Diceros bicornis minor: one gene and its partners. The protein of the gene in region 4 interacts with the protein of the main gene of each other region in a biochemical or structural test. Links are inferred from orthologs where the notes say so. Each region holds a gene or a part of one and is shown on either strand. Other genes may lie near its edges.

Region 1 (7,773 bases), on a different chromosome or scaffold from region 4:
TGACCAGCTGAAGCGCATCATGGAGGTGGTGGGCACACCAAGCCCCGAGGTTCTGGCGAAGATATCCTCGGAACATGTGAGTCACCGGACACCAGCTCCCTCTGCTGACCAAGCCCCTGGCACTCTGGAGGAAGGGGCAGTGTGGGGATAGACTGAGCACCATGTGGGGGCAGAGGTCACAGTGGAACAGAGCCCAAGGAAGATGCCCGACCCCTTCAGGGGGACACAGGTGAACAGGGAAGACATTCCTGGCACGAGGGACGGCGAGGGCAGAATTGCAGCACCGACAAACAGCGCCCTGGCCAAGGACGGTGGGCGGCACCGTGCCAGGTCCTGCAGGCATTGAGGCCCAGGCGAGGAGCTGGAGCCCCCAGGTCCAAAGCAGGGGAGGTCTCTGGTCTGTGCATGCCCCTGCCCAGGCCTGTGGGAGTGAATGAGTCTGGGGCTTCTTTTGGCAAGCCCCCTTCTGGCTTAGGGCTAGGGGAGGTGTGGGGGTGAGCAGCCCCCTCAGGCCCTTCCCATGTGCTCCCAGGCCCGGATGTACATCCAGTCCCTGCCCCCCATGCCCCAGAAGGACCTCAGGAGCATCTTCCGTGGAGCCAACCCCCTGGGTGAGGATGGGCTTGGGGTCTGGGCTGGGCTCCATGTCTGGCCCTGGATGCAGAGTTGACCCCCCCACACTGGCTCCTCTGCAGCCGTGGACCTCCTGGGAAGGATGCTGGTGCTGGACAGTGACCAGAGGATCAGTGCAGCTGAGGCCCTGGCCCATGCCTACTTCAGCCAGTACCACGACCCGGATGATGAGCCCGAGGCCGAGCCCTATGACGAAAGTGTTGAGGCCAAGGAGCGCACGGTGGAGGAGTGGAAGGGTGGGCCTGAGGAGGGCTGAGGAGGGAGGTGGAGCCCAGGATCCCAGGGTTGCATTCCTCCCCAGGGGGTCTGGGAGCAGGGACAACATTCCGCACCCCCCCCACCCCCGCCCGATGCCCTGGTGGGACAGCTAGAGATGAGGTTGGGTGTGTCCAGCGGAGGCTTGGGGGCAGCACAGGGCAGGCTCTGGAAGGAGGCCCAGGAGCTGAGGCTTCTCTCGGAGGACGGTGGTCCTGGGCTGGGTAGCTGGCACCAGATAAGCTGGGCAGGGGTGCTGGGCTGGTGGCAGCATGAGCTCACCCTTTCCCCTCCTTCCCCTCACCCCTCAGAGCTCACCTACCAGGAAGTCCTGAGCTTCGAGCCCCCAGAGCCACCGCAGCCGCTGGGCAGCCAGGAGACTGGGCAGTGAGGGGAATGCTGCCCATCACCACACTCAAACTCAACGAGGGGCCTGAGCCTGCCTGCCCCCCTTCCTCAGCATTTGGGGTCCCACAAGGGGCGCCACCTTGATGGCCCGGCAACCCTGATCCCTGGCCAGGGACGCCCCGTCTGCACACTGCTCCTTGTGGGGAGTCTGCACACACATGTGAATGCATGCAAGTGTGCATGCGTGCGAGCCACGGGTGTAGGAGTCTGGGCAGAGTGTCCTGGACTTCCACCGTCCTTCTACCCCCTCCCAGCACCCTGGGTCTCCTTTGGGACCTCACTGGGGGACTGGATGCCGTATGGGTTTCTCCTGGGGAGTGTGTCTGTCTCCAGATCTCCTTAGTCCTGGAGGGCTGTCTCTGGGGGTGGTGCGTTGGCGTCAGGGCCCCCTGGAGACTCAAAGGGAGGGGTCGCAGCGGTCAGAGCTGCTCAGCCTGGAAGCGGGCACTACCCTGGGAAGTGCTGAGACCTGATGGTCTGAGAGCTGAGCAGGGTCTTTCCTGGGGGGTGGCAGGGCGGGGACAGCTGCCAGGTGTCAAATCAGAAAATCCACCTGAGCTGCATGTTCACCTGCGCTGTGTGTGGCACAGACGCACTTCAAGGCACATGCAGGCGTATGTGCACCTGTGGGTGCCCAAGGCCCAGCGGCCTGACTGGCAGGAGGCCTGAATTGGGGTGGCTGTACTATTGCCTCCCCTCCCCACTGTTCCTGATGCCTGGGGGGTGGGGGTGGGGCTGAGATCCCACTGTGCATCATGAGAGGGGCTCCGGTGGAGAAGGGGCAACCACGGGAGCAAGAGCCGGGGCTCTCTCCTTGGGTGTGGGAGCTGCACCAGGTTTCCAAGGCATGGGGCACAGTGCGAGTTGGGGAGCTGACGGGCACGGGGCTTCCCACCTTGAGGATGCTAAGAAGGAGGGCACACACCGATGTGGACTTGGACTTGACCCTGGACTGTGGCCCTGACTGATGAAGATGCCTCTGCCTGCTCTACCTCTGCCCGCCCTCTGGCCCTGCAGCTGAGAGCTGGGGTGCTCTGGTCTGAGGGTCTGCCCTCATCTTCCCTCCTTCCAGAATGGAGCTGACCTACTAACCTCTGGGCCAGGACCCTGCTCCACACGTGTTGTGGGTGTGAGTCTCTGTCAGGTGGTGACCTATCACCTGGCAAGACCAGGGAGGTCTGAATGTCAAGTGCCTGCACCAGGGTTTCGCAATAAAGGGGGTTCCCTCTGGCTCAGCTTGTGTCCCAGGCTCCAAGCCCTGCTGCCCCTCTTTCCCCACTGCCTGGAGTGGGTGGCTGGCTCTCCGAGCATCACACCTCCAGCTGGCCTGGCCCCACCAGACTCCTGCACTAGCCAGATCCCTTGGGCCCCCAGTGAGACAAGCAGCCATCTTCGGCACGCTCCCTGCTCCCTGAGAACCCAGGCAGACCTGGGGGTGGGGGGTGGGGGTGAGTCCTCCACCCAGGCCAGTGGGCTCTGAGGGGGACAGGGTATGATGGCCACCCTCAACTTGACCCCAGCAGGGTAGCTGGGGATTCACTGGGCAGGCTTGGCGTCTGGTCCAGATGCAGAACTGCCCCTCGACTCAGTGGTCAGGGTGGCCACTGGGTGACAGTTGGGGGTCTCTGGAAGCAAAGGCCTTTCCCAGGGCTGGGCTGGGCTGGGCTGGGTGGGGGAAATACCTTTCCTCTTTTTCCTGGTTAAGGGGAAAGAGGGCCACTTCAGCCTTCGACCTCCTGCTCACTGCAGCTTGGGGGGCGGGGGGGACAACGACCCAGTCCTGACAGAGATCAGGCAGGGTGTCCCCAGGAAAGGGACGTTCTGTGCCCCTGCCCTGGGTCTTGGGTGGTGGAGACTATCTGGGAAGTGGGCCTCCAGGGGCCTGGTCAGTGTGGCTAGTGGGCCTCAAGTCTTGGGGAACCTCCGGAGACTGGGCTGGGCCAAGTCCTGGGGGTGGGGTGGGGGATGGGAGCAGAACCCCGGGAACAAGCCCCATCTGGCGGTGTGTCCTGATAGGCAACCCTGCTGGACCCTGGGCCCCAGCACAGGGAATAAGGGGTCCAGCTGGGGGACTTCCTGGAGGAGGCAGGTAGAGTGCCACAGGCAGTCCAGGGCATGAAGGGCACGGGTACAGGCGGTTGTGGCTCCCATGACCCCAGGCTGCCTCCACTGACCTCCAACTCCTGAGGGCTCTGGATCACCAGCCTCACCAACCAGCAGCCCAGGTGTAAAGCTGCTCTGGCCAGGCTTGAGCTGCTGATTCATGGCAGCCAGCTGGGCAGGGCACAGAGGGCGGGACAGGGGGCCCTGGGAATCCTGTTACCCTACTCCTTCTCAGACCCCCATCGCTGGGCTAGGGGAGGATGTGGCAGGGGGCTGGGAGCTCTGATCTCCAGGAGCATCTGGTCCAGGATGGGTCCCACTGAGGGGTAAGGGGGCGCTGAGAGGCCCAGTAGGGCCCTCCTTCACCCGCAGGGTCAGGCACACCTTCCTGGAGAGAGCGGAGAGGCTCAGGCTGGGCTTTGAAGGACAAACAGGAGGGAATAAGCTGGGCAGGGGCTGGGACGCGCAGAGGGACTTGCGAATGCTCGCAGCAGGCTCCCCACATGCCAAGTAGGGGGAGAGAAGGGAGCTGGGGTGCACAGGGCCCAAGGGGAACCTACAGGACCACCTTCTCTGGCTCCCTGGGGTTGGGAGGCCTGGGGTCTGTGGTCACAGGGAGGGGTGTTGGGGATGCAGCCTAAGTTTGGGAGACAGAACGAGCTCTCCCATACGGACCCCACAGGTGCTGGGGACCTCACACTGGGGAATGGATGGATCAGGCGGGGGTGGGGGGCGCTCAGGTGTGGGGGGGTGGAAGTTGGCGGGCTGCTGGACAGTGGCGTAGGGCTGGGGATAGAAGTCCGACGGCCTCAGGCTGCCCAAGACGGGCCCAGCGCCCTGGGGGCATGGTTAGTGAGGAGGAGACAGGAGCCCCAAGCTAAGACACCCCCGACGCGGGCCCGGGGGTTCAGCCTGAGTGCGGGGGCGAGCCGGGGGTCTCCGACACCCCTTCCGGTCCGGTTCCAGGCTGGGACTGAGCTTCGGGGCGGCGCTCCCTCCCCCTCCGTCCCCTCCCCCCAGTCTCGGGTGCTCCCGGGCCACAGCCGCCTCGGGTTTCCGGAGGGGCCGAGGGCGGGCGGGGGCGTCACGTGCGCGCGGCCCGGGGGCCGGTTGGTCCGCAGGCAGGGGAGGGGCCGCGCGCTACGCGGTCTGGGGCTGGGTCGGGCCGGGGTCGGCGGGACGGGAGAGCCTGGAGGACGGCGACCCGGAGGGAAGAGCCGGGAGCGGCAGTGCCCGGCGGCGGCGGCGGCGGCGGCGGCGGGCGGGCGGCGTGGAACCGGCTCTCCCGCGCGGTGGCCCGCGGCGCGCGCCCAGGGAGCCCGCCGATCCCGGTTCCTGGTCCCGGGGCGCGGCGCCCGTGGGGTCTGCGGCGGGGGCGGTGCCCGGGCCGCCATGAGCTCTCCGCCACCCGCCCGCAGGGGCTTTTACCGCCAAGAGGTGACTAAGACGGCCTGGGAGGTGCGCGCGGTGTACCAGGACCTGCAGCCCGTGGGCTCGGGTGCCTACGGCGCCGTGTGGTGAGCGCAGGCCGCGCGGGTGGCTGGGCGGGGTGACCCGGCCCTCCCTCCCTCCCACCGCTAAGCGGTGCGTCCCGCAGCTCGGCCGTGGACAGCCGCACGGGCGCCAAGGTGGCCATCAAGAAGTTGTACCGGCCCTTCCAGTCCGTGCTGTTCGCCAAGCGCGCCTACCGCGAGCTGCGCCTCCTCAAGCACATGCGCCACGAGAACGTGAGTCGCGCGGGGTCCTGGGCTCAGGACGCCGCGTCCGTCGGCGCCGCTCGTCGCCCTCCTCCCCGGCTCCTAGGCGTCCCCCTGTGCCGTGGGGCGGGTGTCAGGGCACTGTCCCCGAGAAGGGTGGGCGGCTCCAGTTGGTGAGGGCAGAGCCCCTCCTCTCTCTGAGGGAGACTGCTGCCCCAGGGCTTGGTCCTCTCCTCCTAGGCCAGTCCCTGGGCAGGACTTAGCTCCTTGGCTTCCTCCTGGGGCCGCATCTGGCTCCTAAGCCCAGGCTCTGGTCAGGGGCCGGCCACTTGCCCAGGCGGATCATCCATGTCTCACCCAAACGCTGCCTCCAGCCAGGAGCCTGAAGTTAGAGGACGCTCCAGGGAGAGGAGCGATTTTCCTGGAAGGGGCACTTATCCTCTTCCCCGCTGCCCGACCGCAGGCCCCCTTCTCCAGCCGGTCCAGCCCCTCCTGAACCCACTCTGCTCCAGTCTACCTCCTGAGCCTCAGCCCTAGGAGTTGGGGCCCTGGGAACACAGAGCAGGCATAGTGTTGGAGTCAGCATCCTGGCTGTCACCTCGGAGCCTTGGGGTCTGGGGTGGTGAAAGGGTTTAGAGAGTTGATGTGTGGAGGGCACTGGGCGCAGAGACGCTGGCTTCATGTCCATGGGGGCTTCACGGACAGTGGGGAAGGGACAGATCTGGGCGCTTACCAGTTGTTTCCACATCTGCCCGTGGGACACAGCTGCCATGGGCCTCTTTCGTGGCTGTTGCTGGCTGCTAAGAGCCCTTCTCTCCGCCAGGGGAGCTCCTGTTGTTTCTTGATGCAATCCTCCTGCGGCCATGACCTCTGCCCCCTCCCACAGAAGCCACTCCTGTCTCACCCCACTTCTGGGCCCAGTCTGAGGCATGGTGGTTTGGGCACCCACAGGTGGTCTGACTCCTCCCGGGTCATCAGAGCCGCCAGCACTCCCTGGAGGGAATGAGTCCTTGTGTCCAGCCGGAAACTTGTCCCCTTGGTTCCTGGCTGATGCCCATGCCCACCCTATTAGCCCCTGGCTGGCTCTTCATTCTCTCAGCCTGCCCGTCTCCGCCCTTATCTCTTCCCAGGTGAAATCCATTCATGGTGGACCCCAGCCCAGCCTTGGCCTCACTACCTCCTGGTCACACCCAGGCCTGTCCCCGTGAGGGCAGACAGGCTTCATCCGGTTTCTCCCTTACTGCCCCTCACTCCCACCCACCCACCCTTCTCATCCAGCAGGGTCTTTGGGCCTTCTGTTCAGTTGCTTCCCACCCCTGATCTGGCCCAGCCCCCTCCTGGGGCCTGCCCCCCAGCCTGTGCTGGGGCCACCCCACTGTGCGGTGGGTCCTACCATCCCCATCCAGCTCCTCACCCGCCAGCACCCAGCACTGCCTCCAGGCACCCCACACACAAGCTGGGAGGCTGGCCTATTGTGAACCCATTTCCTTGGGAGGAAACAGGCTCTGAGAGGCTGTGGAGCGGCTGCCACGTGCTCTAGTCCTGCCCCTTCCGCCCTCCACTTCAAGCCTCTCCCTCTCCTTCTCCCCTACTTCTGCTGCGATCTGCACCGCAGAGGCACAGAAGTCTCCGTCAACCTGACAATCCCCTTAATCTCGGGGATCCGGTCCTCTGTTCTCCTCCCTCTTGCTACAATACCCTCCCAGTGCCCCAGGCCCCTCTCTGGATGTCCTGCTCTGTTCTCTCCTCCCCTGCTGCCCATGGCTCTGGCCCCAGTGGCTGCAATGGTCATCTAGCTGTTCCTCCACCTCACGTTCACTCTTACCTCACTCCGGTCTGCCCCCACACAGCAGCCAGGGAGACACATTCAGTATCATGCCTGTTTAAACCCTTCCTCGGTGGCTCTTAGGATGGAAGCCAAGCCTCACCTGGCTGTGAGGGCCTCCTCCGGCTCCCTCTGGCCTCTCCTTGGCTACTCCCTGGCCTGGGCCTCGGCCACCTGGCCTCCCTCCCCATGTTCCTCAAACGCTCGAAGTGTTCTCCCTCCTGCCTCGGCCACCATCCACATGACCTCTGCCAGGTGTCCCCCCTGCCAACCGCTCGGATGTGAAGGCCTCCCTGGGTTCCTGGAGGCCCTGTCACTCTGAGCCCTGGGGCCAGTTGTCACATTACCTGTCTGCTGTCCATCACCTTTGACCAGGGGTCTCTGGGGTCAGGGGTTTGGTCATAGTGCTGCCCGCCTGGGCCTCTCCAGCAAAGGAAGAACCTGCCAGATTCTAGCTCTCCCCCAAGGGGCTGTCCCCACCCTGATCCTGGGTCTTCAAGGAGGACAGGAAAAGGGGGAGGAAGGGTCAAGGGGCTGGAGCTCCTTGGACGGCTGGAAGCTGACCCAGACTTGGGGCTGCCCCTCCCCCAGAGGATCCCAGCTGTCACCATCCAAAAATAGCCTGTGTCTGTGGGCATGTGTGCCAGGCCGGGTCGTGCTGCCAGTGGGCAGAGCCAGGCAGTAGGGGGAGACGGGTACAGCTGCAGGGGGCTTTCCTGCCTGAGCACCGTATCAGCCTCAGAGGTGTATTCGAGCTCCCGCGCCCTCCGCTGTGTCCCTATCCCACTTGGTGCTCCGGCCCCTCCCCAGGTGATCGGGCTGCTGGACGTGTTCACTCCTGACGAGACCCTG
Region 2 (6,954 bases), on a different chromosome or scaffold from region 4:
AAACAAGCTCTACTACTTAATAACTGTGATATTGTCACACAATTGTATATTCAATTGTTTTGTGCCTCATTTCTCTCATCTTTTTAATGAAAATACTTTTAGGAAATTCATGTATTCACAAATGTTAATATAAATCCTACAAAATGTTAATGTGAAATCATTCAATATTCATTGTGTGTGAGCTTATTAACCCTACGAGGGTTATGAATGGTCTCAGTTTACAGATGAAGAAATTGAATTACAGAAAGAGTTGGGCCAATGTTATACAGCTGATAAATGATCAAAGTGGGATTTATGCCATATGCCTTTCTACCGTCTTTCATCAGCATATCCATCTTGAGAATAAGAGGAGCCTAGTTCACAACTTAGAATTGTCTCTATTAATATTTAATGAAAACAGGTATACCATTGGTAAAATGAGTAAATCAACAGCTATTGTTAGATGTTTATTCTGTATTCTGGAAGTTGATAATGAGTTTAAATAATGCATTTACATCTTAAAAATATATTGACTTTGTCAATGTTTCATTTCTTATATTGTCATTTATGTCTTTACCATTCTTCAGACTGAACATATACATAGTTTTATACGTGTTATATTTCGTAATAATTTTAGAAATGTACTCATCATGAACAAATTACCTCTCTTTGCTGTTGTTCTTCATGTTTAAACTTCTGAAGTTTCTGCTAAAGAACAAATCATATATAAAGAAATGTTACCATCTGTAAAAATTAAATATAGGAAACTTTGAAAATATGTACTTTTAATATGAGGGTTTTACCTTGTTGATGTGTTTAATTGATTCCTTCAGAAAAATAAAAATAAAATTAGGTTTAGTTTTAATGAACAATTCTTATTTGTCAATATAAATCAGAAAATGAAGGCATTTAATAGGTTAATGTGGACACCTTGTTTGATAATATTAAAAACTCAGGATAATTGCTGAAACATGTGTTCTGTATAAGCCCATTGTATAAAAAAAAAAAGACAGATGAATGCAGTCAAGAGAGAGAAGACAATTAGTAAATGTAATACAAAAAGAGGCATTTAATAGATGCTCTCTTCCTATGACAACAAATGGTCTCTAATATCTCATCAGATTCTAAAAGAACAGTATTCATTGATAATACATTGTAATAGCCATTGATCCATTCTGTTAATCATTCTTAATTTACTTGTTGTATTTAGGCTTCAAATGAATTATAAGAAACAAATACATCTCCTAAGAATCTGATTACCTTTGTGAAGAGACAAAGTATAATAATGTACCATTTAACTAACAGGTGATGACAGACCCAAAAAGAATGATGCAAGGGTAAATAACTACCTGACTCTCCCGGGCAGATTTAGGATGACACTAAGTTTCACTGCCTCTTATTTACCAAAGTAACTATTGTAATTACAAAACGTATCCATTTGCATGTCTGCCCTCCCACTACATTGCGAGCTCTATACTATGGGCATCTCTCTTTTCAGTTTGCACCACATCTCCTACTCAATGTCTGATGCACAAAGGACACTCAATAAATGTCAAAACAGTGAATGATGTCAGCGCAGAGAGAGCTGGAGACAGAAAACAGCACTGTACAGTTCATTTTAAAAAAAGAGGGCAGGGGCTGGCCCGATGGCTTAGTGGTTAAGTTCATGGGCTCCGTTTCGGCCACCCAGTGTTCTCAGGTTCGGATCCCGGATGCAGACCTACACACTGTTCATCAAGCCATGCTGTGATGGTGTCCCACATACAAAATAGAGGAAGATTGGGACGGATGTTGGCTCACACCTAATCTTCCCCATTAAAAAAAAGAGAGCACAGTGACACAATTTCAAGTAGCAAGCCAACTTAGAAAGTGCTAGAATACTGAATCTTCCAGACATTTATTCTGTCCTTAAATATATATCATGGAAGTTTACATCAGAATTTATATGTCAGAACATAGCTGCATTGGCTTAACTGCCCTAATGTAACACAATAGAAAGATAGCACAGCATTTACTCTTCCAAAATTGGGAGATTGCCTCTGAATAAATGTTGTCTTACCTCACGACTTGAATCTAGTTCATTGTTTGAAAGGCGTTCTACAGTCTGTAAAGGAAAAACAAAAACCAAAAAATCAACAACCACCTTCTCCTAGATCACCAAAGAATGTTACTATTTTATGGTTGGAAAATTTTCTCTGAATAAAAATATCTTACCTCATTGGATACATTAATTTCTTCCTTCTGTAAAGAAAAAAAACACCATTTTAGTTTCTATAGCTAACTCATTATTGAACATTTTTCCTACTTGATTTTTACTTTCTTTATGTGGAGCTATCTCTTTCACAAACTTGAGAAAAAATGTTATGTCTTTTGAGAGATTTGAAAGGTAATTGTTTTTATGGTTTTTATATTTAGTAAGTTTTGATTGGCATATTTTTATTTTACCTGAATGAAGAAAAGTTTTTGATAGGTAACAGAAAAGAAGTTATTTTAGTTTGTATTAAACACTTTTTATTATGATTATGAATACGTTTATCATTATGATTACTGCATGATACTCCACCTTCTGTATGTCTTTGGATAGACACAGGTAGGATTTGGCTCACTGCCCTAGGGTATGTATATTTCATCACTAGAATAAGATATATTTATCTAGCTTGCACATGCATGCAATTGTATTTGTGAAATATTACTCTTTTTTGTGGTTTTCATAATTGTTTCTTCTTGTTTTGTTTGTTGCTTATTGGTTTGTTTGCTTTTCCTTTAGGGACTCGTGGCACAGTGGCGTAGAGAGCATTTGACCCAAATTTGTAGCCCTACTATGCACTGTTGAAGTAGTGGGTAAATGTAAATTATTTTCTTAGAAATCAGAAAAAAATCTCTTGAAATTCTGCTTTATTTGTACATTTAAAATATTGGTGATGTTGTTCTCTACACGTAGGCAGATAGTTCACTATATCTTAATTATATAGAGATTTTCTTACCTCCCGTGCAAGAGCAAGAGCCACCAGGCAGGCAAGGATGAGGATCTTCATGGCTATCAAGTCCTGTGAATGAGGAAATGAGGGAATGGTAACATATTGGTCAATCTAATATATTTTTTTGGTTAGCTAGGGTCACTTCACTTTCCTTTTAAAGAAACCAAAAATAATGTATAGTAAAAATGTCTGTGTTTTAGAAAAAAAATACTAATAGGAGTTTTATCATGCAAACAAGTTCAGAATCTACTATGGCTCCTTGCCCTTACATATCAATTTCGTACTTTTTTGTCAACCATTCAGATTTTCTCAGGTATCGGCTCTATTCTACCCTCTTTTCATCTCATTCACACTTTGTGGGATTTTTTTTTTTGAAAGACAGTAAAGAGTTATAAATATTTACAGAAAGTTTATTAATTGATTCTTATCTCTAAAATATTTTTTACCATCTTTTATTGCCAGGCACTGTCTAAGTGGTAGGATTACAGCAATGGAACAATTAAGGTCTCAGCCCTGATAGAGCCTCAGTTCTTTTGGGAGGAAACTGACCAAATAAGGTTCACACAAAGAAGAAGATCATACTTTATTTTTATCTTTCCTCTACTAAACTAAACAGTTTCCATTAATATTTGGTTTAATCATATCTCCTTATTTCCAATAAGACTGAGATTTTCATTTGACCATTTCCCTTATTTACTCCACTTATCCAGATGCTTTCTTGGACCGATTGGTTTGCTTCTTCTCCATTTATACCCACTACTCAGTCTCATCCCCACACACATAGTGATGTCTCTTCTTTGTGCCACATAACTTTAGAGATCATAAACTATGCTTCTTTTTTTCTCTCTGATCTCTTGATGATTTACCAAAGGGTCAGATTCTCTTACCCAATCCCCACTCCAGGCTACTCCTTCTTGTAGCATAACATAAAATATATGTTAATACTTTTGACCAAAATGTATTAAATGTTTGGTTTTGTTGGATTTCTATAATTTCTTGTAAAAAATGATTTTTGTGCCACCAATATCCCTTGACATATAATCTTCAATCTCAATTTTTTAAACTAAATTTCTGAAATAAAAACATTTTATTAAAAAAGTCCCTAATTCATCAGCAAAATTTCCTTTCCAATATTAGAAGGCTCTTTATTAGAGAAAAATTTTTTTTCTGGATTTTTCTCATGGGCGCTATATAATTCTTTATTAATTTTACTTTGCATAAGACCTCCATAAGTTTCCAAATAATTTTTTATTGTCAGACTCAAAAAAAGAATATAGTAGTCTACTATAGATCATTACATGTAAGGAGGATCCCACTGCATTTTCTCTATTTTATAATTAGTATTTTATATACCAATTTTTAAACCAGAACTTCATTATTAACTATTATATTCTAAGCTACTCTTTCTTTCAAATCTTCTCCTTCCTTTCTTTTTTCCAAGTCATCTCCGTACCATCTAGAATTTTCTTACAGAGTAAAACACTTTGTTTCTTTTTAACTTAATTCTATATTTCATGTATCTATTTTAATATTATTTTGAAATATTATAAACTAAATGATAAAGTGGGAAGGTGGATGTTCTAATCTAGTTTGAGGAATACACTCTTCTTCTAAAAAAATCGTTTATAAACATTTCAAGTAGTGCATAGTCCCAAACAACTCCTTCAATTTCTTGATTCAATATGCTCCATCTATAGACTACCTGTTGGATAAAGTTTTCCCAGTAATTATTCATATCTCCAAACAATGATTTAAATATATTTGCTTTTATGGCCGTGGTAAGTTTAATCAAATTGGAAGAGATTTTCAGGGAAGAGATCTTTTAATATAGCCTGTTAACTAGTCCTGTACTATAAAAATAGTAATCACTGTTACTACATTTTCTTAGACTCATAAATCTTATACAGTCATTGCAATTTTTACCAATCTATAGGTACTTCTATTTTTTTTAACCTATGTGTTGAAAATAGTGCCAGCACTATTTTAAAAACCCTTATTTCAAAGACTATATTTTAAGCAATTATTTTCTTCATATATCTCAACTTAGTTGGAAATAAAAGTGAAGGGGGGACATATCAAATTTATATCTGAAATTCTTACCTTTTTCCAAGGTGGAGAACAAGAAGCAAAGGAGGAGATAAGTGGATGATGGTCTATCTGCTTTTGCTGCTGTTTATATACTACATTTAATGCATGCTAATTTTGTGGTTTGAAATAAAATCAATAGTGAGTTTGAATTCCAAGAAGTCCACCTAATTAGAAAATGATTTCTATCTATTATTTGTCACCAGAAGTTCTGGGGAACAATTTAACAAGGGAGCAATTCACAGCTAATAAAGGAAATTTGTCCAGGAAATGAAATTGTCTAATAACTAAAGACAATGACCAAAGGATAGCGAGACTCTAGCCCAGTCCCCAAGTTATTGTGGACACCATTAGGTCTCTTTGGCACTAGGTGGGTCTTCAGCACCTCAGTTGTGGGGGAATTCTATATGAGCACCAGAGATACATGGGGCCTTCACAAAGGACACAATTTCATACTAACCTGAGCAATTATTAGTGTTTCACGCCGCAGTAAAAAAGCTGACAAGATAACAAGACCATGATGATAGCTTAGTCATGTAAGGCAAACTGCTTAGCTCTCAGGGCCACTTGATTTGAGAAAAATAAATCATTCACTTCAAACCAATATTTTGTAAACAAGAATAATAAACCTTCCTGTAATGGAACGTCTCAGAAAAGTAATTTGGCAGGCTTTTAGAGGCAAAATCCTTAGTAAATATGTTATAAAAGTTTTGCAGAATGTCATGGAGTGTTATTTACCTGATAAATATTGATTAGCTTTTCTATTTAAGGCATAATAATTATAATAGCTTTTTAAAAAATTTAGTAACAACCCGACGCCAGGCACTGTGCACTTTACAGACATTGTCTTGTACAATCTTCACAAAAATGTCATGAGGTACCTCTTTTCTCCAGATTTCATTTGAATAAATTGAGACACCAAAAGGTTATGTAACTTACTCAAAATCATATTGTTTGTTAATGGAAAAATCCCATTGAAAACCAGATCTGTCTGACTACATATTTGATCTATTTGATTATATGCAGTGCTCATATTTTAACTCCTTCAGAGTTTGTTATAAAATTTAGCTATCAATGTAGCATTTGGGCTTACAAGTGCAGAATTTAATTATGCCTAGATTAGAGGAATGGAGCATTGGTGCTGAGTGTGGGCAGGATCAGCCAGTCATTAAGGAGCTAGTATTTTAATTGAATCTCAAAAGAATGAGTAGAATTTTGAAAGAAGATTAAATGGGAATAAAGCATTTTGGCTGAAAGAAATACAGGAGCTTGAAGAGCAAAATACCAAGCTTTATGGGTTCTGTATTTTAGGATACATAGAGGATATAGAGCCAGCCCTAGTGGTTTAGTGGTTAAGTTTCAACACTCTCACTGCCACAACCCATGTTTGTTTCCTGGTGAGGGAACCACACCACCCTTCTGTTGCTGGCCGTACTGTGGTGTCTGCATGTTGCTGTGATGCTGAAAGCTAGGCCACTGGTATCTCAAATACCAGGAGGGTCACTCATGGTAGAAAGATTTCAGCAGAGCTTCTAGAATAAGACAGACTAGGAAGAAGGATCTGGCCACCCACTTCCAAAAACTTGGCCGTGAAAACCCTATGAATAGCAGCAGCCTTGTCTGATATAGCACTGGGAGGTGAAAGGATGACCTAAAATGATTGGGCAGGTTCTCCTAGGATTGATAGGAGTTGGAATCCCCTTGAGGACACTAAAAAAAACAAAGAGGATTTAGAGTATAAGTTACTATTGCAGAGGTTTGATGGAGTCAGATCATAAATGTCTTTGATTTTCGATTATGTAGAGTGACATAATTCACTGGAATTAGGGGAAGATATTAGAGATTTAAAAGAAGGAACGATCATGAAATTCTTGGATTTTATGTCTTTATGGCAATATTTCAAGTAACCTAG
Region 3 (7,025 bases), on a different chromosome or scaffold from region 4:
GATCTCAGAGGTGGAAGGTACCTTGGAGGGCATCTCCAACCTAAATTTAATAATCCTTTCCATAGCATTCCTAACAAATTATCATCCAGCGTCTACTTGGAAATACACTGTGATCAAGTTTCCCATTCCCCAGTGCAGCCTCTCCTTTGGACCACTCTAATTGTTACAGCATTATAGCAGTGTTTTAGTGTGTCAGTGGGATCCAAAACAATCCTGTAAAAAAGGTAGAATCATGTCATTGTGGGTTAACGAAGTGACCACGTGAACCTACTACGAGACAACCAAGTCAGTTCATCAAATCTGCATTATGTTGGGGTACTTTACCATAAGGTTTCAGTAAATAAATGAATTTTCATATACTGAACTGAAATTTGCTTCCATTTGTCTTCTTTCCTCAGGAGCCACAAAAAACATTTAATTCCTCTCATCACACATTCAAATATTCAAAACTACGTATTGTAGCTTCCTTGCAGTAAACCTTTTTGTTTCTTGTGGGCAAGGTTCCTTCCCAGCCTTTCTTGCCTTTCTTGGCTAAATCCTGCTTACGCTTCCAGTCTCCTTTTAGGTGTCATGTTCTCAAGAAAGCGTTCCCTGGCCTCTGACAATCTGAGTTAAATTGTACTCTGCTTCAGAAGCCCATTGTGCAGAGCGTATATACGCTTACAGCTGTGTTAAGCAGCCTGGCTCCCTCTACTGGACCACAAGCTCAAGTACAGAGCCCATGTCTCAGTTTTGTATTAACAATGTTTAACAAAATACCTGATCCATAGTAAGCACTGAATCAGTGTAAATTGAACTGAACTAAACTCACAATCTTGTTTTCTCTTCAAAAAATACTCCCATTTGCCAAAGGTCATCTTTAAAGTGTGACTCCCAAAATGAACACTGTTCTGGGTGGTGTCAGCCTTGCTGAGAATATGACAAAATCCTACTCTCCTGATTTGGGGTATGATATTCCTTTGTACTGCTGTCTCAGCTTATTGTAACTAGTCTGACATTTGTTCACTTAGACTGCTGCTAGTTGAACTGAAACTCTTCAATTTTCAAACATGATACTCCTAAGCCATACTTCCCATATTCTTGAGTTAATGCAGATGGTTTTGATCCTTGCTATAGGTCCATCCTTCTCGTTCCGAGAAGATAAATTTTATTTCAGTATAGGAAAGAAGGAACAACCTCCTTTGAATCTTGTCTGTAGAAGCTGATTATTTTCAGAATTTCCCAGCATGCTTTCTACACTCTCATCCCACTGGTTAGGAGATAGTTAAAGGGACTGAAGGGCTTAGGCCCACTCCTAGAGTCCTCTAAATTACCAGTGACACAAGTTATTGGTATTTGGCTACAGTTACAGAAATATTTGTAAACCAAACCGATTTATTGACATTCTACCCCATTTATCTTGCTGACAAAGCTACCACAAGAAGCATACTAAGTTCACTAGTGTATAGTTAATATCAAACCTTCATTTAAGCTTATGGTATGGATGTGGTATCTAGCTCAGACTAATTATGAAGCAGTAGTGATGCTCTTGTTCTACAGACATAAAACCTGGGGAGACCCAAACAACGATATGAAACTATTGAAACTTATTTCATTGGTATCATTCTGAACCATGATTAACGTTAAGTGGCAATGCAGAAAAACTAACAGCTACATCCTAGACTACGGTCATCTTAGCATCAAAACAATTCCAACATTTCACTACATTAGAGTTGTACAAAGAGGGAGAAAACCACGGGAGGGAGGGTTGAGAAGGGAGAAGTGGAATGACTAGAATTTGCTGATCATGTTAAAAAAAATTTTTTTTTTTTTTTGGTGAGGGCGATTGGCCCTGGGCTAACACCCATGCCCATCTTCCTCTGCTTTATATGGGACGCTGCCACAGCATGGCTTGCCAAGCGGTGCATCAGTGCGCACCCAGGATCCGAATCTGCGAACCCTGGTACTCTGAAGCAGAGCACGTGCACTTAACTGCTGCACCACCAGGCCAGCCCCAACTCTTCACTCCTTAACTGTGGGCTGGTCATGGTCTAGAGCCTTCCCCTAAGGCAGCATGAATTCCCAGGAGGGCTTATGTGTTCAGGGCCACACTGTCTCCAGACTTCTTCCATGTGTACTGTCCCTCTCCCTACAGTCACTCAACCATGAAATCTGGCCCCTACATTTGTTAATAAAAACAAAATGAAACCAAAAAACCCCACTTCAGTGAGGCATTGAGGAGTTGAGTATGCTGAGGCTAAACCAAGGGTTTTCCATCACAGCAGTACAAAGACCTTCAAGTGCAATGGCAGGCACTGCCATTCTTAGACATCCAGCACCCCAGAAACTATTCCCCTGGTCTTTCCCTTCCATGCCCACCCGCAGTCTCAGCTGCTTTCCATCTTGTCAATTCTTCTCTCTTTTCTCTGCCCTTCTCTCCCCCTACTTCACAGGAGTAAGCCTCCTAGTCCTAGAAAGAGCAATTCACTGAGCTCCTTGAATTATCTAGGAATTTCCCTCAACATAGTAGTTTATGGAGATACTCACCTTTAGGCTTAAAAAGAATTGAAGCGGGGCCGCCCGGTGGCACAGCTGTTAAGAGCGTGCGCTCCGCTGCAGCAGCCTGGGGGTGGCAGGTTTGGATCCCGGGCGCGCAGGGACACACCACTTGTTAAGCCATGCTGTGGCAGCGTCCCATATAAAGTAGAGGAAGATGGGCACGGATGTTAGCCCAGGGCCAATGTTCCTCAAGAAAAAAGGGGAGGATTGGCATCGGATGTTAGCTCAGGGCTAGTCCTCCTCACCAAAAAAAAAAAAAAAAAAAGAATTGAAGAGCTGAAATGAAGAAGTTCCATGGGTTGGTGACAGAGGTGACAAGATTCTGAGGGCAGTATGCTCTTCCAGATACATATTGCTTCTGGAAAGGGCAAGCAGGCCTGTGAACATATTAGATTCATATGATTATATATTAGATTCAAAGGTCTTTCTTTCGGGTCAGAAAGACCCGAAAAACAAGGTCTTTCAGTGGCAGAAAGTAAGACCTAGTGCTATTAAGCGGCGCACCTTGGGTCGTATCCTCTACCTTCTACAAACTCTGCTGGTGGAACACAGATGTTCAACCAAGTGCTCTTGGAATGTAACCTTTTCTTTTAACAGAGGTTTTCGTAACAGGGGTTTTAAGAGGGAATTTGAACTTCTGGATACAGTAGTCAGTAACTAGTTTAATATCAAAAAAAAGAAGTCTTTAAAAATTTTATAGACAGTCTCTAGTAGAAAAATGATGAAAGGAGATGTTTGAAAATACTAACTGGAAATACTTTCCAGAGGCAGAACTGGCAGAGGCGCTTTTACAAAGGGTGGCCGGTACCTTCAAACATCATAAACCCAAAGATCCCTTCGCAAACTTCCAACTCAACTTAACAAGAAATAAAACCTCTTCTCGCAGTCACCGTTATTCCGGTTATGACAATAATGCCTTCCTCTTCCACCGATTCGGCTGACATTAAAAATCTCTAGACTCTGTTCATCTGTCCGGGTTCAAGAATATATTAATCTGGCTGATTCAGAAAACACTCACGCTCACGGATTTACTCGGGGGAAGAGTGCTCAACAAAATCAACTTAAGTCAAAGCCTCTGGAAACCGCGACCCCTGAGTCCTCAGCGAGCTCTCAGAGGGCGCCTCATTCCCGTTTCCTTCGGGGAGTCAAGCTCCTCGAGACGCGCATCTTTACCTCCGTCCACAGAAAGGGCTCAAGTGAAGAGAGAGGGAGACTGAAACGTGAGGGCCGGGAGGGGAGAGCCCACCCCGCCGCCCGGGACGAGGCCCCGGGCAGCCACGGCGGGCACGGGCGACACTCGCCGCCCGCAGAGGGGCGCGCGGCCGCCGGAGAGCGGGGGCGGGCGGGAGCTCCCGGGCCGCGGCCCCCGCGCAAGCGACGCCGGGAAATGCCCACATCCGGGAACCCCGCGGCGGAGCGCGGTGGCGGCTGCGAGTGGAAGGCAAGATGGCGGCGGCGGCGGCGGCGGCGGCCTGCTGCTAGGGGGAGAGCCAGGTCTCGCGACCCCGCGACGGGCCGCGCTGGCCCGCGGCACCCCGGCGCCTGTCCCCGCCCTGCCCCACCGGGACACTCGGGGTCCCTCCCGGGCCGCGCCCCCGCCGCCTCGGCGCCCGCCTCGGGCCGTGCCCGCTGTCCGGGAGCCCCGCTCGCCCCTCAGGTAGGTCGGCGGGCGCAGCGGGTGGGGCGCGCTCTCCGCCCGAGCCGAGCTGGCGGGGCCGCGGCCGCCCGGCCCACGCCCATGCCCCTGGCGGGGTCCAGGGCTGCCGCGGCGGGCGGGCCGGCGGCCGGACCTGAGCGGAGCCCGGCCCCGGGAAGCGGGGGTTGGCCGCGCCCGGGCTGGAGGGAGAGCCCCGGGCTTCGCGGCCTGGGAGGTGCGGGTTCGGCTGGGAGGAGCCGGCCCGTCCGCAGGCCCGGCGCGGACTGCTCCCTCCCACCTCCACCCGACCCCCTGCTCGCGCCGGACAGCGGTGATTTGGAAGGAAGGGAGCGAACGGGGGTTCTGCAGGACAACTGCAGCAGAAGAGCCACAGTTGTTCGCGTCCCGGGGGGACCCGATCCTGGACAGACCTGGAAGAAACCCTGGGAACTTCTGTGTCTAGGCCACTGGAGTGCTTGGTTACTGCTCCTGGTTGGAAGGGGTGGGAGAGATGGAGGGGTCTCTATGGAGTAGGAGTGTATATAAATACAGAAGATGAAGGAAAGAAAATTAGGGGAACGTTGTTGATTATAATCTCAAGAAGAACTTGTGTCGCAAAGAATGACTCCCAGGTGACTTGATTTAACCCCATTCTCTGACTTCTCCAATTGAAAGTTATTTTCTAAGGGAACAAAGTTTAACGTTTCTTGGCCCATATGTTAATATGACTTAAAATATATATCATCGTCTGGAAGTTGTTCATAAATTTAGTGAAAAATACGTGTGGCCTTACGCACAAATAGTATTGTATCACTTCAGTTTTGGAAATGGTGTTGAATGCCCGGGATCGTGAAACTTGTCGGGGCTGTATGGATTATTTATTGAAGATTAAAAATTTTTATCAAAATTCTCCATGAGGAAGAAAAGATAGGACATTATAATTGGAATAATTGTTCTCTGCTAAAATACCTACATTTGAGGTCATTTCTGTCCTTTAATAAGTTGACAGACGGTGTAAAATGGGCCAGTTGATTCCCTAAGGCAGTGGAGGAATTTGACTGATTTAACAGTAAAAGTAGCAGCATTGTGTTCCTCTAATCGGCTGCTACTGCAAGAAACTGGATCATGGCACATGCTGGGAAAGGTGCATTCTTTCTGTTCTGAATGTTTATTGAATATGCCTTGCCACTCTCCAAAAGCAAATAAAAAATACGTCTGCTACATTTTTTTGGTATGATATCTGGAATTCCTTCTATAGGTTGAGTTTTTATTTTTGTTTTTAATGCTAGTCCTTGTTATTCTATATAAATATAGCCTTAGAACAGTTCCAGCTCTGGTTTTTCAGTTTTCATTCTAGATGTTGTTTAGATTAGTGGGGGGGGGGGGGTTGTAGACCGAAAAAGTTATTTCGTCATTTGAACAACATTTTTATCAAGTAGAAATGGCAGTCATTTTTCAGCATGAAGAGAGAATATAGTGATTGTTTTCAGTTTTGATCAATTGATTCTTAGTGAATTGAAGAAAATGCCCTCACTTGGCAAAGACTCTTGAATATTGCTGTCTGAACAACTAAGATTATGCTGCTAAGAAAAAAGCCAGACATATTGCTGTTGCTGTTCCCATAACTGATTGAGTCAAAGCGTTGAGACAGGCCATCTTTTTTATAAACCTGATTCAACCCAGGGTAATACTCTGAAGTTTTATTATGTAATGGTATCTGTTTTTTCCCTACGTTGGACAAGTTATCAGTAATATTTGTTTGGATTTACTGACGTTTGCATATTTGATGAAGGTCTGAACTTTCAAAGAGATGGAGGTTTTATCTGTTCAGTCTAATCAATATAAGTGTCCCTTCAAAGAATGAGTGAGTCGTGATCCCTGCCCTTAGGAGAGTCAGGTTGGAGGTATGATGAGAAGAACCCTGGGTGGTTCAGGATGTGTGAAGTCCATTCCTAGCATGACCTCCAGCTGGCTCCATGACCTTAGATAGGCCACTTTACCTCTCTGAATCCATTACTTCATCTGGGGGGAAAAAAATATATATATACACACACACACATATATATATCTGTAAGACACCTTATGCTCTATGAATCTGTGATCTAGTAGGAAAAATAAGACAAGTACAAGAATAGGGCAAAAACGTAAGTTTTATTTGATCATGCAAAGTACATTTGGAGTTCAGAAGAGAAGAATAACAACTGACAGTTCAGTGAAAGCTCGGTGAAGGAGGTATTTGAATGGTACCTTAAAGGTTGGGTATAATTTCTATGAGAAGAAATTTGGCAGGGGCTCTCTCAAGAAGAATAAACAGGATGATTAAGGACATGAAAGTCGAAAAGCACAAGGTATGTTAGCTGAAAGCAAGTCATTTGGCTTGGTTAGAGTATAAGGTACAGAGGGGAGAATCTGGGAGGATAATGGAAAGAGGTAAGGTAATAACTAGCCGTTATTGAGTCGGGCACTTATTCTAAACATTTGATGTGTATTAAACTTACTTAATTTTAATGCTCAAAATAACCCTATTAAATAGGACCATTACTGCCCATATTTGAAAATGAAGGAGCTGAGGCACAGTTTGCCGAGATCACACAGCTGACTAGTGATAGAACTGGGATTCATACCCTCCAGTTTGACTCCAGAGCTCTGACTTCAACTGCTAAGTTAGAGTCATTGAGGGCTCTAGAGTAGGGAAGTGACATGATAACTGTTTTCTAGAAGACTAATCTGGCACCAGTGTAGCATGGGTTAAAGAGTTAAACTGTTTTGCTTTGAAGAGTTCTTTAACAAATTATCCATTATTAATTTGAATTTTCATATTAGCAAGGGTGACTAAGATTTGTTAATGCTA
Region 4 (7,614 bases):
AGTTTACTCTCTCTTTATTTAGGGAGTCCCCTGGTCCTCTACCAGCCACCCTGGGCCAGCCTAAGCAGTCTCCCTTTGCCCACCTCCTCTATGATCCCTTGTAGCCCAATCCCTCCTTGTCCAGGGAAGGGCCAGTTCCCTAGCCCCTCCCTTTGTCCACTCCCAGAATCTCCCCTGACCTGGGTGCTCTTGCCAGAGCCAGGCTCTCCAGACACCAGCACCACTCCACTGGGGCTACTCTCCAATTGCTCCAAGAAGATAAAGCGAGCAGCCCAGATGGGCAAGGCTCGGCGCTGCTCAAGCAGCTCGTAGTAGCGGGAAGAGAAGGGGAGCCCATCAAAGGGGTTCACAGCCAGTTCAGACTCCCCAGGGCTTGGGCCAGACTCTTCTGCCAGCCCGAGAAGCTGAGAGGCCATGGTGGCTGACTGGCAGGACCTACAGAAGGCAGGGCAGTCATTAAGGCCTCATATTTGGTGGCTAACACCATCCTCCCACCTCAGCCCTGATCCCTAACCTGTACCCTCACGTGATAATGTACTGGAGTCCATCTTTCCCAACATTTCTTGCCTGCCAGGAAATAGTGGAGATTTGAGTCTCCAAGTAAGGGAGTATCAAAAGTGAACTATTACCCTGTAGTCAGATAGTAAAAATCCTGTGACTACCACAGGGGTCCTCAGGGGCAGCAGGAATTATATGAGACCTGGTACCCTGTGGGGAGGTCCCCAGGGGAAAAGGCTAAAGAATAAGAGGAGGAGGGGGGCAGGAACCAAGGAACAGGGCCACAAGGACCCTGGATTCAAACCTGCTTGCAGCTCTGAGACGTGTCAGGATGGCAGCCAGTTCTAGACCCACCCAGGCAGTTACCACCAACCCTGACCCGCATGAAGTACAAAGGTAAATTCTGGCTCCACCCTGGGGCTTGGCTCAAACCCTGAACCCTAAAGACTGGTTTTGGGGTGGGGCCATTTGCTCCACCTTATTTAACCTAGTCAGGAGCCTATGGAAAAAGGCTCCAACCACCACACTGAGCATGTGTGAACTTTACAGACACCTGTGTACTGTGCTCGTTAGTGAAAAGCATCCTGGGATTTGCAGTTTTGCAGCTGTTTCTTCACAAATTAGGGCTCAACACCCAAGCTAGGGTCCAGTTGTTCCTGAGTCTTCAGTTCAGTTACAGTTCCTTAATATCACTCATCTCTTGACACGAGGAGGTGATTTCAGACAGTTCCATTCAGACCACTCCCCGACAAACTCATCCCCCCCAACCAATGGAAAAGGAACTTGCTCAGGGGGATTTTGACACCCAGAGAGGCAACAGAGACCTTGAGTGAAAACCCTGAATTTAATGTGATACTGGGGGGAGCCCCATCCCTCCCTTTTTACCACCCACTCATCCGGCCTGTCGTGAGTTGGGTAAGGGCTGCCCCCAGTCTCCGTCCTGCGGCTCTGGGTGCCATCTTGTGCTCAGTCAGCCTCCTGGGCCTGTCTCTCTGTGAATCGCCTACAGGACATAAGAAGACATTGTGTGGACTTTGCCATATTGGCCCCATAATTAGCTCCCTTCTCCAACCTGCCCCTTACTACCCATTGTCCTCTAAGCCCCTCACCTTCTTGCGTATTCATATAGTGCCTGCTTGCGCTCCTGTAGGCTCTCCTGCCGGGCCCAGGAGGACTTGGCAAATGTTAGGGCTGTGGGCTGAGGGGTCACCAGGCCAGAGCTGGGGAACTGAGGTGATCACAATGTCAGAGGGCTTGCGAAGTCATCATCATTAAACACGCATCGAATGCCTACTTTACAAGAGAGGCACTGTGCTAGGGTCTCAGGATCGAAAAAGAGACATCAGGGCTAGGGAGTATTTAGACTGTTCCATCCCACCCCAAGTCTTGGACCTGACCATTTTCTGGGTCTCACCTTGGGGGCTGAGGCTGTGGGAAGCGACTGGGTCTCTTCAGCAATGTCTTCAGGCATGAAAGCTACAGCTCCCTCAAGCAAATTAGTGATAGTCAAGTCTACACAGCCAGTCCTGGCTGGGGAGAAGGGAAGAGAGGAGAGGGGAGTCTGTTTCTCTGCTCACCTTCTCCCCTCACCACCCACTGTTCCTTTCTGTGCCTGTCTTCTTGTGTGAGGCTACCCTTTCCCATACCCAGGTCTCTCTGGATGACACCCAGTGGTACATGGGGTAAAACCTCCTTGACTCTCTGAGCCAGAGCTGCCAGCTGCACATCAGGAGAAGGGCCAGGGGAGGGAGGGAAAGAAGGCTGGGCTGCAAAAAAGAAATCCGAAATATGGTGAGTGGAGAACTAGGAGGAAGGAGAGGCTGACTAGCACAGGAATAGGGGGAAATCACAGTAAGCTAAAAAAACCCAAAAAGCTTTGTGTACAGAGACCACCCACCTGACTGGGGGCGCAATCTGGGGTGTCTTTGTCGCTTCATGTGCTCTGCTTTGTCTGCTGGAGTGAGTCGTGTCCCTGTCTGGCCCAATTCTTTGGCCACCAGCTAGGGAGAATTGGAAGGTTGGAAGTGTCAAGGTTTCAAGCCTTCCTCCCTCACCACCTAAGGAAAGACCCCACCTCCACCCCGCCTGTGTATCCTACCACCTGTTGTACACGGAGGGCAAACTCCTCATTCCCCTCCCCCAGCTGGCGATGAACAGGACGGAGCCACCTGCAAAAAACAATCCAGGAACATCTTGGGGACACCCGGGGTAGAGGCTGTCACCTTCTCCTCACTTTGATACTTTTCATGGAAAAGTGGTGGTGCGAGTGGGGAGATAGTCAATACTTTGTATTGCTTCTATGGTGCAACTTGATATTAAAAGATCTGCAAATGGATGGGGCAGAGGCAACTACTTCCTTGACCTTGAGGTGAGTGTCTCCCAGCCACCATAAAGTGAGGACAGTTAATACCTTACTTGATACACCGTGAAAGGGACGAAAAGCGACCACAGCAATTCTGAGACCCAGGAGGCATCTGACACCGTCTGAGGGGAGGGCATGAAGTGAGGTCTTCATGAAGCCAGGGCCAGGAGTGGGAAACTTCTGCTCCAAGACCCAGAGATTCCCTGTCCAACACGCACTCACCACAGAGACTAGGGGTCTCTGGACTCGCAGGGTAAGAGGTTGTACCACATCCTGGATAGAAAATGGCCAGGAACTAGAAGAGAGAAGAGAGGGTAAGATGGCATTCCAGCCACTCCAGGCAGCAGTTCATACCTGACTTAAAACAGGAACTGTCAAACTGTACAAGTAGATAAATGGAGAATAAAGAATTTCCGGGTAAAGAACTAAAACAGGACAGGAAGGAAATGAACTAGGAATGGAGTGGGTAGGGCTGAAGAAGGTTGTTAAAACCCAAGGGCCCCCAAGCCTGACCACCCACCACCCAGCTGGACACTGCTACCTATGCTCACCCACCTGAAGCGCAGAAGCCCCTCCCGGCCATTGGTAGCCTCTTCCTCGGGAAACAGCAGCAGAGGGGTGGGGGGAAGCCTCGTGGAAGCACAGAATCTCTTGAGTGACTCCACCAACTCCCCCTGCCCATCCACCTCCATGAACCCCCGAGACCAGCACACAAAGCTGGGGGGACTATTGAGTAGAGGCTGGGAACGGGAGAAAAGAAAGCAAAGAGAAAAGAATGTTGGGAAGTGAGAAAAACTGACATATGAAGTAGAGAAGCGGGATTAGGAGTAAGGCTCAGTAGCTTGTGGTCCCCAAGGAAAACCCGGGCGGGCAGAGGGGCAAAGGGGAGCCAAGAGCTGGGCCCCAGAGAACCGCCCCGTGGCGCTCTCGGCTTCGCCCCCCACTCACGGTGCTACAGCTGGTGAGCAGATTGACTACATTGTGATCGAAAGGTGTCACGTGGTTGGAAATGAGGACCCTGACGCGGTGATCCCGGAGTCCAGAGTCCTCCTGCCGGGCCACAAGCCCCAGCACCGCACACATGGTCCGCACCACGAACCTAGGGACACAGGCAGTGGTGACTGCACAGCCTCGGGCCGGACCCAGCCCTGACCCTCCCCGAGCGCCTGGGTCAGCACCTGCGAAGGACGCTCTCTGGTAGTGCGCAGCTGACCAGGAAGACGTGGATCCCAAGAAAGAGGCGCAGGACGAGGAGGCAGAACCCGACAGGAGCGTAGAGCAGCAGCGCGAGGAGCAGGAAGCCGTCACCCGGGAGCCTAGGGGCGAGAAGCGGGGTGACTGGCCGCCGAAGGCCGAGTGGACACGGGAGCCGGCCACTTCCCGCCGGGACTCTTACCGGTGCGAGTCGAAGAGCCGCTCCGGCCCCGGCGCCGGGGGAGGTTCCATCGCTAATACTTTAGGGGTGTCGGGCCCCTTCCACCGCCGCCGCCATCTTCACGCCCCGCCGCAGGGGCTCCTGGGAAGGCGGAGTCTTAGGGCATCGTCCCAGGGTGCCCGGACCCGAAATCCTGAGGCGCCCCGGAAGGGCTAGCGGTCCCAGCATGCCTCGCGGGCCCTCGGGCCACCTCAGAACTTGAGTCCTGCGGGGACCACAATTCCCGACAGTCGCGGGGCGGGGGCGGAGCCGGCCTCCTGGAATCCTGGGTCCCGGCGTGCACTTCTGGAGGACTTCAGGTACCGGCGTGCCCCGCGTCCCGCTGTCCGCCCGCTCGGGTCCAGGGCGCCGCCTCCGTGTAGGGCGGGCGAGGAGGCAGCTGAGGCGGAGCTGATGGCTGCACTGAGGGCGGGGCAGGGTGCAGGCTGGAGCCTACGGGGATGGCGGGCTTTGGGGGGGGTTCGCTGGGGGAAGGGACCCCCGTTGACCCCTGACCTCCGGGCCCTGCTGACGTCAGGTACTCCTGACCCTCGGGCCCGAGTGACTTATGGGACCCCCAGTCTCCGGGCCCGGTTGTCTGTGGGGGTCCCTGAACAACGGACATGTCTGACATCGGGGACTTCAGATTCCCGAGCACAGCTGACTGCGGGAACCCCAGACCCCCGGACGCGGGAGGACTCAGGGACCCCTGGAACCCGTCTGCGCGTGTGGCTGGCGGTGGCGCTGGGCGCCGGGGGGGCAGTGCTCTTGTTGTTGTGGCGCGGGGGTCGGGGTCCTCCGGCCGTCCTCGCCTCGGTCCTCGGCTCGCCGCCCACCTCTCCCCGGAGCCAGTACAACTTCATCGCAGACGTGGTGGAGAAGACGGCACCTGCCGTGGTTTATATCGAGATCTTGGGCCGGTAATGGTGGGGTAGACCAGGAGGCATGGAAGCCGCGGGCTAGAGGGCGGGGGGAGCAGGAGAGGTCCGAGCCCCCTCACATCCGTGCTTTCCCCGCATCCCAGGCACCCTTTCTCTGGCCGCGAAGTCCCTATCTCGAATGGCTCCGGATTCGTGGTGGCTGCCGACGGGCTCATCGTTACCAACGCCCATGTGGTGGCTGATCGGCGCCGAGTCCGTGTGAGGCTGCCTAGCGGCGACACGTATGAGGCAGTGGTCACAGCTGTGGATCCCGTCGCAGACATTGCCACGCTGAGGATTCAGACTAAGGTGGGCGTCCGGCCAGGCCGGGTCTGTTTGGGGCTGTGAATTTGCTCGTATCTCCAGATGACAGCTCTCTTGTACCCATTCTCCCTTAGGAGCCTCTCCCCACACTGCCCCTGGGACGCTCAGCTGATGTCCGGCAAGGGGAGTTTGTTGTTGCCATGGGAAGTCCCTTTGCACTGCAGAACACAATCACATCTGGCATCGTCAGCTCTGCTCAGCGTCCAGCCAGAGACCTGGGCCTCCCCCAAACCAATGTGGAATACATCCAGACTGATGCTGCCATTGATGTGCGTCCTGATGTGACAGAAATGACAAACTAGGTTGGGGGAGAGGAGAGATACTGTGTGGTGTAGGCACCAACTGTGTTTGATGGTGGATAAGGCTATACACAGAGGTTGGGCTGCAAAAAACGTGGCCACTCATTTATGGGCTGGGAAAGGAGAGAATTTGGAGAAAGTGCGGACATCCTGATTATGCCCCCAGGCATAGAGTCCCTGGATCTCTTCCATATTTTCTTCTTGTCCTGCAGTTTGGAAACTCTGGAGGTCCCCTGGTTAACCTGGTGAGTGGGATATCCTTCTTTCCAAGAATCCCTGCCCCAGGTCAGTGTGGAATGGTAGGTTTTCCCTAATTCAATAATGTTTGGTCAAGTTTCTGAGCAGTCTCTTATAGGCTTTCTCCCAGAATCCAACCTGATCTCCCCAATTCCCCAACACTCCCAGCTACGCTTGTTAAGGTACCCCCATCTCCTACTGTTTGTTGGGGTTAGGGAATAGTGGGCTCTGTCCCTGCAGGATGGGGAAGTGATTGGGGTGAATACCATGAAGGTCACAGCTGGGATCTCCTTTGCCATCCCTTCTGATCGCCTGCGAGAGTTTCTGCATCGTGGAGAAAAGAAGAGTGAGTCTGGCTTAGGGGGGAAGGGGCATTCATTGGACCTTACTGGAGAAGGGTTTATTGGGAGGATGGGGAAGGGAAGGAAGGATATAGCTGGGTGGGGCTCATTTGTCCCTCTATCACAGATTCTCATCTTGGAATCAGTGGGTCCCAGCGCCGCTACATTGGGGTGATGATGCTGACCCTGACTCCCAGGTATGAGCTTTAGGGGTAGTGACATGTAGGACCACCAGTATACTCGGTGGTGGGCAGCTGGCATTTCTGTTGAGCTTTGTTTTATTCTATCAATTTTATCTTTATCTAAGATGAGTTGCCTCACATGTGGAGCTATCAGAAGAGCTGTCCTCTCTCATCATCTTGACTTTCTCATCCCACTCCATTTTGCACACTTGCCACCAGATTTATTTTATCTCATTACTGCTTTGACCTTCAATCCATTAACCTGGTGTTTAGGGGCCATTTTCCATTTGTCTCTAATTCAACCTTCCTACGTGAATATACTCTGTTCCAGCCAACCTGATTTCCTACTCCCATGTTTTTATTTATGTTGTTCTTGTTTTTATAGTTAAATGTCAGACCCATCTTTCTAGGCTCAGCTTAAGTTCTACTCCCTCCTTAAAGCTTCTCTTAGGATTCTAGACTGACCTTAGTGCTATTGATTTAACACTGTGTCATTTGGAATTAATTATGTTTTATATACATGTCCTGTTTCCTAACTGCCAGAAGCAGAAAGTGAATTGCCTTTGTATCTGGAGTACCCAGTGCATGCCCTGTCCATACAGCTGTCAGTGTGTTGATGAGAGATTTGAGGTGAATCCAAGATGGGGAGAGTGCCTTGGTGTGGTTAACCAGGTGATCTATGTCCCTTCAGCATCCTTGCTGAGCTACAGCTTCGAGAACCAAGCTTTCCTGATGTTCAGCATGGTGTGCTCATCCATAAAGTCATCCTGGACTCCCCTGCACACCGGTGAGGGAGAGACTGCAGTGGGAGGTGCGGATGGGTGAGGTGTGCATGTGCCTTTGAACTGGGCTGGCTACTCCCTCCTTTCTCTCTTTGTCTGTCTTTCACCATAGGGCTGGTCTACGGCCAGGTGATGTGATCTTGGCTATTGGGGAGCAGCTGGTACAAAATGCTGAAGATATTTATGAAGCTGTTCGAACCCAATCCCAGCTGGCAGTGCGGATCCGGCGGGGACCGGAAACACTGACCTTATATG

The links.
Region 1: of the proteins of HTRA2 (region 4) and MAPK12, one has a biochemical effect on the other in vitro, tested with the Homo sapiens proteins (2 studies listed by BioGRID and IntAct, with this or other methods). The link is inferred for Diceros bicornis minor from reciprocal best matches to the Homo sapiens genes HTRA2 and MAPK12.
Region 2: of the proteins of HTRA2 (region 4) and CSN2, one has a biochemical effect on the other in vitro, tested with the Homo sapiens proteins (2 studies listed by BioGRID). The link is inferred for Diceros bicornis minor from reciprocal best matches to the Homo sapiens genes HTRA2 and CSN2.
Region 3: the proteins of HTRA2 (region 4) and LATS1 form a complex in vitro, tested with the Homo sapiens proteins (2 studies listed by BioGRID, with this or other methods). The link is inferred for Diceros bicornis minor from reciprocal best matches to the Homo sapiens genes HTRA2 and LATS1.

What each region holds. Positions count from the first base shown.
Region 1 is NC_080764.1:545,539-553,311, forward strand, and holds the start of MAPK12 (mitogen-activated protein kinase 12), read left to right. Parts: upstream 1-4,771; 5' UTR 4,772-4,791; coding exon 4,792-4,916; intron 4,917-4,996; coding exon 4,997-5,126; intron 5,127-7,731; coding exon 7,732-7,773. Other genes in the region: MAPK11 (mitogen-activated protein kinase 11), read left to right, coding at 1-76, 533-611, 696-869, 1,200-1,279. UniProt on the Homo sapiens protein: Serine/threonine kinase which acts as an essential component of the MAP kinase signal transduction pathway.
Region 2 is NC_080747.1:56,461,058-56,468,011, forward strand, and holds the start of CSN2 (beta-casein), read right to left. Parts: upstream 3,015-6,954; coding exon 2,964-3,014; intron 2,221-2,963; coding exon 2,194-2,220; intron 2,084-2,193; coding exon 2,039-2,083; intron 688-2,038; coding exon 643-687; intron 1-642. UniProt on the Homo sapiens protein: Important role in determination of the surface properties of the casein micelles.
Region 3 is NC_080778.1:28,144,489-28,151,513, reverse strand, and holds the start of LATS1 (serine/threonine-protein kinase LATS1), read left to right. Parts: upstream 1-4,021; 5' UTR 4,022-4,195; intron 4,196-7,025. UniProt on the Homo sapiens protein: Negative regulator of YAP1 in the Hippo signaling pathway that plays a pivotal role in organ size control and tumor suppression by restricting proliferation and promoting apoptosis.
Region 4 is NC_080751.1:14,486,795-14,494,408, reverse strand, and holds the start of HTRA2 (serine protease HTRA2, mitochondrial), read left to right. Parts: upstream 1-4,600; 5' UTR 4,601-4,688; coding exon 4,689-5,194; intron 5,195-5,298; coding exon 5,299-5,503; intron 5,504-5,592; coding exon 5,593-5,787; intron 5,788-6,029; coding exon 6,030-6,116; intron 6,117-6,294; coding exon 6,295-6,400; intron 6,401-6,522; coding exon 6,523-6,592; intron 6,593-7,268; coding exon 7,269-7,364; intron 7,365-7,471; coding exon 7,472-7,614. Other genes in the region: ATP-dependent RNA helicase DQX1, read right to left, coding at 180-416; lipid droplet-regulating VLDL assembly factor AUP1, read right to left, coding at 1,465-1,501, 1,608-1,726, 1,913-2,028, 2,145-2,264, 2,396-2,498, 2,597-2,666, 2,909-2,982, 3,083-3,155 and 4 more.